Rattus norvegicus: one gene and its partner. The protein of the gene in region 1 purifies or fractionates together with the protein of each later gene. This does not show direct contact. Links are inferred from orthologs where the notes say so. Each region holds a gene or a part of one and is shown in the gene's direction. Other genes may lie near its edges.

Region 1 (4,574 bases):
TTGTCAGCCTTCCCCGCAAACATCTCCCAACACTCTTGTACAATCCTCCAAGCTGGTTGCTTCAGGTTCTGTTACTCAGGACTCGAGTGGCCTTGATAAGTCACTGAGTGTCTCAAATTCTCATTTTCTTCATGTGTGCCAAGGGGATCACAGAACAGCCAGTCTTATCTCAGGTGAGCTCCGAGTGGCCCATCTGATAATGTGCTTGCAAGTCCTAGATGAGCCCCTACCCATTTGCCTTCAGAAAAGGTGTGTGAAGGCTGGACAGAAGGCAGCTAATGGTTTTCTTATGGTTAATTCTTGGAGCTGGCCAGCCTAAGGCAGAAGCTGGCCAGGTGAATGCAGAGGGCATCTGGGCCATTACTTGGGAATGCCCACTGCACTAGTAGTGGTAGAGGTTGTTGTGGGGGCTTTTCTTTTTTCTTTTCCTCAAACTTGTAAACCCACTGTCCAACAGCCATGTTTTATTTTCTCTTTGCTCTTAGGTACTGATGCCTTTATCTAAGGATTTTCTCTCTCAGTTTAGAAAGCTTTAGTTCTTGTCAGGTTAGTTCACAAAAAAAAATTGTATTTCTTGGAAGACAAGTTAAAAAAAATTCTGTTTTTTTCTTTAATTTTTTTCTTGCATGTAATGACGGATACAATTCAAGCATGTAATTTTTTTTTAAGGTATTAACCTCGATGTGTGCCTCTTCCCCCACCATTAGCTTCATTCTTTTCCCCCAGATAGTCACACTTTTATCTTTTTATCATCAATGTGTTAACTCATATATAAAAGCATTACTACACACACACACACACACACACACACCCTAGATCCGCATATGAGGGAATACTTGTCTGAGTAAACCTTATTTATGTGTATAAAAATCCTACAATCTTTGTCTATTCAAGTCTGGTCGTTTTCCCATGCGTGTGACTTTATGTGTATATGTAAAGCAGGCTCCACACTGAGAGAAAACATACTTTTTTTTTAAAAGTCTGAGTCCTGTTTATTTTACTCCCTATGATGATCCCCAATTCAACCCATTAGGGTTCTGCTCCGCGTTGGCTTCTGCACACCCTTCAACCTCGTCCGCGGCTTCGAGCGAGTGTAAGCCGCACTTGCACTTTGATTTTCCTACGTCCCGGACAGCCCGGAGCCCGCAGCTCCACCTGGCTCCGCGGCCGGGCGCACAAAGAGCGGCGCGGGCGGCGACGGGCCGGGACGCAGAAAGTAGTCCCGACCACGCCGGCCTCAGTGTCGGCCGACGTCGCCTCACGCCCTCCGCCGCCCCGGGAAAGAATCCCATCGGAATGCGCCTCGGGAAGACCTTTCCCCCTCAGCCTGGCGGGGCTCGCGAGGCCCACCTCGCGGGGGCTCCGCGGGGAGTCAGCGCGCGCGGCGGCCGCGGCTCCGGGGGTCTGGCCGCGGCGCGCTGAGGAGGAGGTCGGGCGCGCAGGGAGACGGCGGCGGCCCCGCGGCGGATCCCTGCGCCGCTGCGAGAGGAAGAGGCTGAATGAGGCGCCGCGCGGGGGACGTGGGGCGCCGCGGGAGGAGGCGGCGGCATGGGGGCAGGCGCTGGCGTCGCGCGAGCCCGGGCCGGAGCGGCGCGCTAGATCCCTGACGTGCGCCCTTTTCTTTCTTCTCCCGGCCGCGGAAAGCATGAGCGTGCAGACCCGCCGCTGCGGCGGCCGCCCCGGCTCCTCGCCCGCGCGTCCCCTGGCCGCCGGTCGCCGGTGAGGGCCGCGAGCGCGCGCGGTGGGGGGGAAGATGGGGGCCGTGCTGAGGAGCCTCCTGGCCTGCAGCTTCTGCGTGCTGCTGAGAGGTGAGGCGAGGCCGGGGAAAGTTGCCGGGGTCCGGGAAGGGGGAGGGGAGGTGGCGGGGACAGCGGCGGGGAGAGGCCTGGCGCTGGGGAGCCGCGCGAGGAAGGGGCCCGCGGTCGGGGGCCGCGCCCGGCCGCAGCGCACACCCCTGGCCGGCCCCGCGGCGCGGCCGGACAAAGCTGCGGGCCTTGGGGGGAACCCCTGACCCCCCGCACTCCATCGGAATGACTGACCGTGCCCCGCTGCCCTGCACTCCAGGGCAGAAAGGGTCTTTTGTAGTTCGCGTTTCAGCACCGTTGGTGTTGACCTCCCTCTCCCTCGAAGCCCTCACCTTTCCCGTGTCTCTTAGGTGAACTTTTTTCTTCTTCTTTAAACCCCACGATTTTTTTTCTCTCCTCTCCTCTCTAGGCCTTGTTAAAACTAACGATTGGCTTCTGTTTGGGGTAGAATGGTCCTGGGGGAGAGCACAGTTGGAAATTGACTCTAGGGTTATAGGTCGCGCTTTTCAGCATTGGGGAATCTTCTGAGCCTATAATAAAAATACAGACGTTGCCCTCGTAACCCTTGCTATTCAGGGCTCGCCCCCTGTTTTCGGAGTGTGCAAGTGTACAGTTGGCACCAAGTAGGGAAGTCATCCTTGTGTGGCGAGGAGCCTATCCTGGGAACTAAATTATCATTTGCTGGGCACCCCTGGGAACTGCTTGGCACTTTGGTAATAACAGAGAATGCCCTGGGTAATTTGCTATGGGAATCGCTTAAATGTAGTGGCTCTGGGGTGTTTGGAATTGGACGGCGAAGCTGAGACACACGTCCTGACTTTTGTTGTGTGACAGTTTGCAAAGGAGACCTTGTGGACCGGTCTTCGTCAGTTGATGAGAGATGGGGAGGTTTGTGTGGGGGTGCCGTTGAGTGTGTTACCCGTGCAAGAATTGAGGTGCTTGGTTGTCACTGTATCTTGTAGTTCGTTTTTTGTTAACTTCATTTGTGCCAGTTAATGGGACCTCTCTGGGATTCTTAGTTATTAATTTAACAGGCTAAATGTCTTAAGTCCTTCAGGAGTATGGAAGTTCCCAAAGTAGGATAGTAACCAACAATGGAAAAAAATTTTTCTAAAAATAAGCATATCCCGAATTGCTTAGTCCTACTTGTAAACACCAGAAATATAATTGCTGTCTAATTTCCACGGCAGAGAACTCAATATTATTAGATACTCAAGAGATTTAATAAGTATGTGTTTATTTTGTTACAGTAAACTCTATGCTGTGAGGTTATAATTGACACGTGACTGTGATTGACAGCTTCCTAAGGGTTAAAAATGTGGAACCAGTGGATTGATTTAGAGTTGGGAAAATCTAAATCGGTAACTTCAGATGGCTTCAGCGTCTGGAAGTCTAGTTGTAGTTCTTAGAGGGGGCATAGGGTTGTTTGTTTATTTTGATAACAGGTTTGAGTCTAGAGTTGAGTAGATTCCTGACTTGGGTTAAGAGACAGTGAAGTATGGTATTGTGTAACAAGATCAAGGAGAGGTAACTGTCCGAAGTGGAGCTTACTCTAAATGTAACATAATAATGGTAAGGAGGTCTTTTTTTTTTTTTTTCTTTCTCCCTGCTTTATTTAATTGTGAGCATATATCATTTCAACTGAAACTGTCTTTTGGTGTAAAAGATTGCTAATTTAGTCTCTTCACTTCTTGACAGTGTTAGCCTCTGTTATAAGTGACAGTCACCCTTGGTTTCCCAGGAGCAAAGTGTGATTGAATTCCTTGTCCTTCCAAGAAGAGGTGGTACTTTCTCGCATTGGGTTTGTGATGATGTGTGACTTTGGGACTTGGTCCTTACAGCCTTGTTTACTTAGCAGCAGTTGAAGGTCATTTGATACTGCCATCCTAAGGCTGCATCCCTGTCTGCAGTGACATCCCTTGTCAAGTGACAAGGTATATTGGGAAAAAATTGAAATTGGAGGATTTTAGCTCCATAGTCTTGAGTTTAAAGCTAGATCTTCATTATTCTTGCTTCTGGTCCTGTCTGTCTCAGCTTATCTATAAAACATGGGTAATGACACCTGTCTGCCTGATTTGCACGGTTACTAGGTGTGTTTAATGAAGTAACATGAAGTGCTTTCCGAATATTAATTAAAAATTGTTTTAAAGACAGGATTTTTCTGTGCTGCCCAGGCTGATCTCCAAATGCAACTCAACTGTTCTCCTTTCTGAGCCTCTTCAGTGCTGGGGTTACAGGCATGCCCCCACATAGGGCTATAACTATTGTTATTTTTATGTGTGTGTGGAATATTTTTATTTATGGATGTGTCCTCAATTGTTGGTGATTAGAGATTTAATTTAAGATTCAAGAGTGCTTAAAGTAGATGGGACTGGCGGTCATTTGTAAGGAGTTGGGCCAGCTAGCTAATGGTAGAGCAGGGATTTACTCCGTTCTCTTGGCAAGTGTGCCTGGAGTAAGATCTCCGTTCCTCAGGACAGCTGGAGTAAGGCACGCAGGGCTCTTTCAGACTCTGCAGCTTACGTTAGGTCTACCCAGATACCAGTAGGAAAAACATTATCCCTGGTTTTCTAGATGAAATATTTTTGGAAAGAACCACAGTTTTATAAAAGATTAATTTTTTAATTTTTAAAAATTATGTGTGTCTGTATATAATGAATGTAGAGGCAGAAGCATGGATTCTCTGGAGCTGGAGTTACAGGTGGTAGCTTAATGTGGATACTGGGAATTGAACTCAGGCCCTCTGGAAGTGTGCAGCCCCGAGAACTG
Region 2 (3,808 bases), on another chromosome or scaffold:
TGGGACCAATTGGGGCTTTGTTGCTGTCTCCCCTTTGGATATGTTGAGATATATCAGATGTAGCAGAAAGGACCAGAGATCATAGCAGGGTCCAATCCAAATTTGAACAAATTTGCTCCCTTTTGCACACCCCACACGGCAACAAAGGTATAGGTGGTACAGTTTTCATTTGGCGGAGCTAAATCACATTTCTTGTATGCTTCTTTATTGAAAAAGCATACTTGTATTTGTAACTGATTTTTTTTTTCTGTACCTTTTCTGTCTTTCCAAAGTCACCATATGCTATCAGAAGGGAATCTTCTTGTAAGAGAGAAATTAGCAGCCAAGTACAGCTTTCTGAATCTCTAAAGTTGTCTGTGTAGACAATGCATAGATGCCTCTGAGTGTGGACTGTGTTCTTCCATCACTGGTCCAAGGTGTGCAAGGTAGCCAGCCTATGATCACTTGATCTCTTACTTGTTGAGAGCTGGAAGGACATCTTGCTGTGTGGTTGCTCATAAGGCATGCCAAGTATGAAAAATAATAGAATAGACAGAAAATAGAGACTCTGTTAAACTTGCCCTATGCCTGTCTACCTGAGGATCTGTAGTGTGCCTCTTCTTTGTTTCTGAGTGTCACTAGGGCAAGTGTGGTGATTGTCTTCATGGATGAGGGACCAACTGACTGATGTGATGCTGGTGACTGGGGACAGAGGCACCTTTTTCTAGCTTTCTTGTCCTCTTGACATTCATTTCTTTAGCCAGGATGGGTGATCTTCAGGCCTTACCACTGAAGGCATCCTTTGAAGGAGAGATGTCCCCCATGATCCAGACTTTCACTTAGTGTGAGAGGCAGTCTTGTAAAAGTTCCAGAAATTGCCTTAATGATAGAGCAAAAATTGTGGCCAAAATATGTCTCTGCTAGAAGTCTGCACTGAGTCTCTGCTCCAAGTGGGAGTGGGAGGGCATCCCTGCACATCTCAAGAGAACCTCTGGTGTTTCCATGGACCACCTTTCCTAATCCTTGTCCTCTTAATGGTTTTAACAGGAGAGATTGATTCCCTTGGGAGCTGTAAGTACTGAGGTATTAGGGTGCAGCGCTCATTGTTCACTGATGCAGAGTCCCAAAATGAATGTCCAGGAGCAGGGTTTCCCCTTGGACCTCGGAGCAAGTTTCACCGAAGATGCCCCCCGGCCCCCAGTGCCTGGAGAAGAGGGAGAACTGGTATCCACTGATTCGAGGCCTGTCAACCACAGTTTCTGCTCTGGGAAAGGTACCAGCATTAAAAGTGAGACCTCAACAGCCACCCCAAGACGTTCAGATCTGGATCTGGGATATGAGCCTGAGGGCAGTGCCTCCCCCACCCCACCATACTTGAGGTGGGCTGAGTCACTGCATTCCTTACTGGATGACCAAGATGGGATCAGCCTGTTCAGGACTTTCCTGAAGCAGGAGGGCTGTGCTGACCTGCTGGACTTCTGGTTTGCCTGCAGTGGCTTCAGAAAGCTTGAGCCTTGTGACTCAAATGAGGAAAAGAGGCTGAAGCTGGCAAGAGCCATCTACCGAAAGTACATCCTGGATAGCAATGGCATTGTGTCCAGACAAACCAAGCCAGCCACTAAGAGCTTCATAAAGGACTGCGTCATGAAGCAGCAGATCGATCCTGCCATGTTTGACCAGGCACAGACAGAAATCCAGTCCACCATGGAGGAGAACACCTACCCTTCCTTCCTTAAGTCTGACATTTATTTGGAGTACACAAGGACAGGCTCAGAAAGTCCAAAGGTCTGCAGTGACCAGAGCTCAGGGTCCGGGACAGGGAAGGGCATGTCTGGATACTTGCCCACTTTGAATGAAGATGAAGAATGGAAATGTGACCAAGATGCAGATGAGGATGATGGCCGAGACTCTGTCCCCCCCAGCAGGCTCACCCAGAAGCTGCTATTGGAGACTGCTGCCCCGAGGGCCCCCTCAAGTAGACGGTACAACGAAGGCAGAGAGCTCAGGTGAGTTCGGCACAGGGTGTCCATTTTCTCTACACAGCTCAGAGACCTGGCAAAGGAGCGAGGGAAAGGTGTTGGTAACAGGTGGCCTTGTTTTTAACCCCAGCTGAGATCTCTGCTGCTGCTGCTGCTGCTGCTGCTGCTGCTGCTGCTGAATTATAGTTTTATTTCCTACTTAGATACTTCATACTTGTTATTAGATACCTTCTTATATTTTGTGGCATTGAGAACGCAACAAACAAGACTTGCCAGGTGTAATCCCACCTACTTGGGAAGCTGAGGTAGGAGAATCGAAAAATTGTGTGTCATTCTGGGCAACTTGTAGAGATTCAAAATGAAAAAGAGTAAAGGCTTAGGAGAGTTCTTGCATAGCATGGAGGAAACTCTTTGAGTTCCCTCTTTAGTAACACGTGTACTACTAAATATAGGGCTTTGTGAATTATAAGCATATGGCTTGTGAATTATTAGAAGCGTGAGAATTCTTAGAAGCTATAATGGTTTGGTTTGTTTTTTTTTTTAAAGATTTATTTATTCATTATATATAAGTACACTGTAGTTATCTTCAAACATACCAGAAAAGGGCATCAGATCCCATTACAGATGGTTGTGAGTCACCATGTGGTTGCTGGGATTTGAACTCAGAACCTCTGGAAGAGCAATCAGTGCTCTTTTTTTTTTTTTTTTTTTGGGTTCTTTTTTTTTTTTTTTCGGAGCTGGGGACCGAACCCAGGGCCTTGCGCTTCCTAGGCAAGCGCTCTACCACTGAGCTAAATCCCCAACCCCGCAATCAGTGCTCTTAACCACTGAGCTATCTCTCTAACCCAGAAGTCATAATGTTTAAACTTTACCATTTAGCACAAAATTCATGTCTTCTTGCATAGAAGGATCTTAACCCTTAATAATGAGAGGGAAATACATTCAAATACATAGACAATTATAATTACTTTATTTTTATTTTAGATTCATTTAGTTTTTTTATGGGGATGAGTGTTTTGTATGTATGTATGTGCATATGTATGTGCACCATGTATGTGCCTGCTGCCCAGAAGGGGGTGCCAGATCCCCTGAGACTGGAGTTAACAGATGGTTGTGAGCCACCACATAGGTGCTGGTAATCAACTCATGCCCTCTATAAGAACAACAAATACTTTTAACTTTTCTTTTTCTTTCTTTTTTTTTTTTTTTTCAGAGCTGGGGACCGAACTCAGGGCCTTGCGCTTGCTAGGCAAGTGCTCTACCACTGAGCTAAATCCCCAACCCCCATACTTTTAACTTTTAACCCATCATTCCACTCCCTTCCACATCTTGCTAATTTTTTAGTCAGTACTTTGGATTCTTTCTGGAGGATGAGACAGTAGTGGGGCAGTTTAGTCTGTGTAGACAGTTGTTGGAGGGTTCAGAAACTCCTGATGGCTGTGCTTGGATTTCTAGAATTGGACCTTTTCCCTCCATGGCGTGATCTGCTGAAGGGAGTTCTGATTGTGTGTTCTGATGTATGCAACTTGAGCAGCATGATGGTGCTCTCCAGAAGAGAGCATAGCTTTGAAACTTGTTTCTTCACCTTTCTCTATAAAAAAAAAGGTATTTTTACACTTATTTGTGGTGCGTGTGTGTGGTGTGTGTGTGTGTCCATCCACCTTATATGTGGATGGGGGAGGCACTGACTTCAGGCTCAGGTGGCTAATATGTGGTAAGAGAAACTCCTTATAGGGGGCATTTTTAATCCTGTGAGTTCTGTGGATTGAATGTGGTCATTAGGCTTGGTGACAGACCCCTTTCCCTGCTGAACTGTCTTATCAGACCAAGCGTTGCTGTTTTTTAAATTC

Evidence for each region.
Region 2: the proteins of Lrp6 (region 1) and Axin1 purify together in Homo sapiens (affinity purification with western blotting; 7 studies listed by BioGRID and IntAct, with this or other methods). This does not show direct contact. The link is inferred for Rattus norvegicus from reciprocal best matches to the Homo sapiens genes LRP6 and AXIN1.

Annotation. Positions count from the first base shown.
Region 1 is NC_086022.1:169,128,610-169,133,183, reverse strand, and holds the start of Lrp6 (low-density lipoprotein receptor-related protein 6 isoform 2 precursor), read left to right. Parts: upstream 1-1,467; 5' UTR 1,468-1,753; coding exon 1,754-1,808; intron 1,809-4,574. UniProt on the Homo sapiens protein: Component of the Wnt-Fzd-LRP5-LRP6 complex that triggers beta-catenin signaling through inducing aggregation of receptor-ligand complexes into ribosome-sized signalosomes.
Region 2 is NC_086028.1:15,670,874-15,674,681, forward strand, and holds part of Axin1 (axin-1), read left to right. Parts: intron 1-1,026; 5' UTR 1,027-1,092; coding exon 1,093-1,985; intron 1,986-3,808. UniProt on the Homo sapiens protein: Component of the beta-catenin destruction complex required for regulating CTNNB1 levels through phosphorylation and ubiquitination, and modulating Wnt-signaling.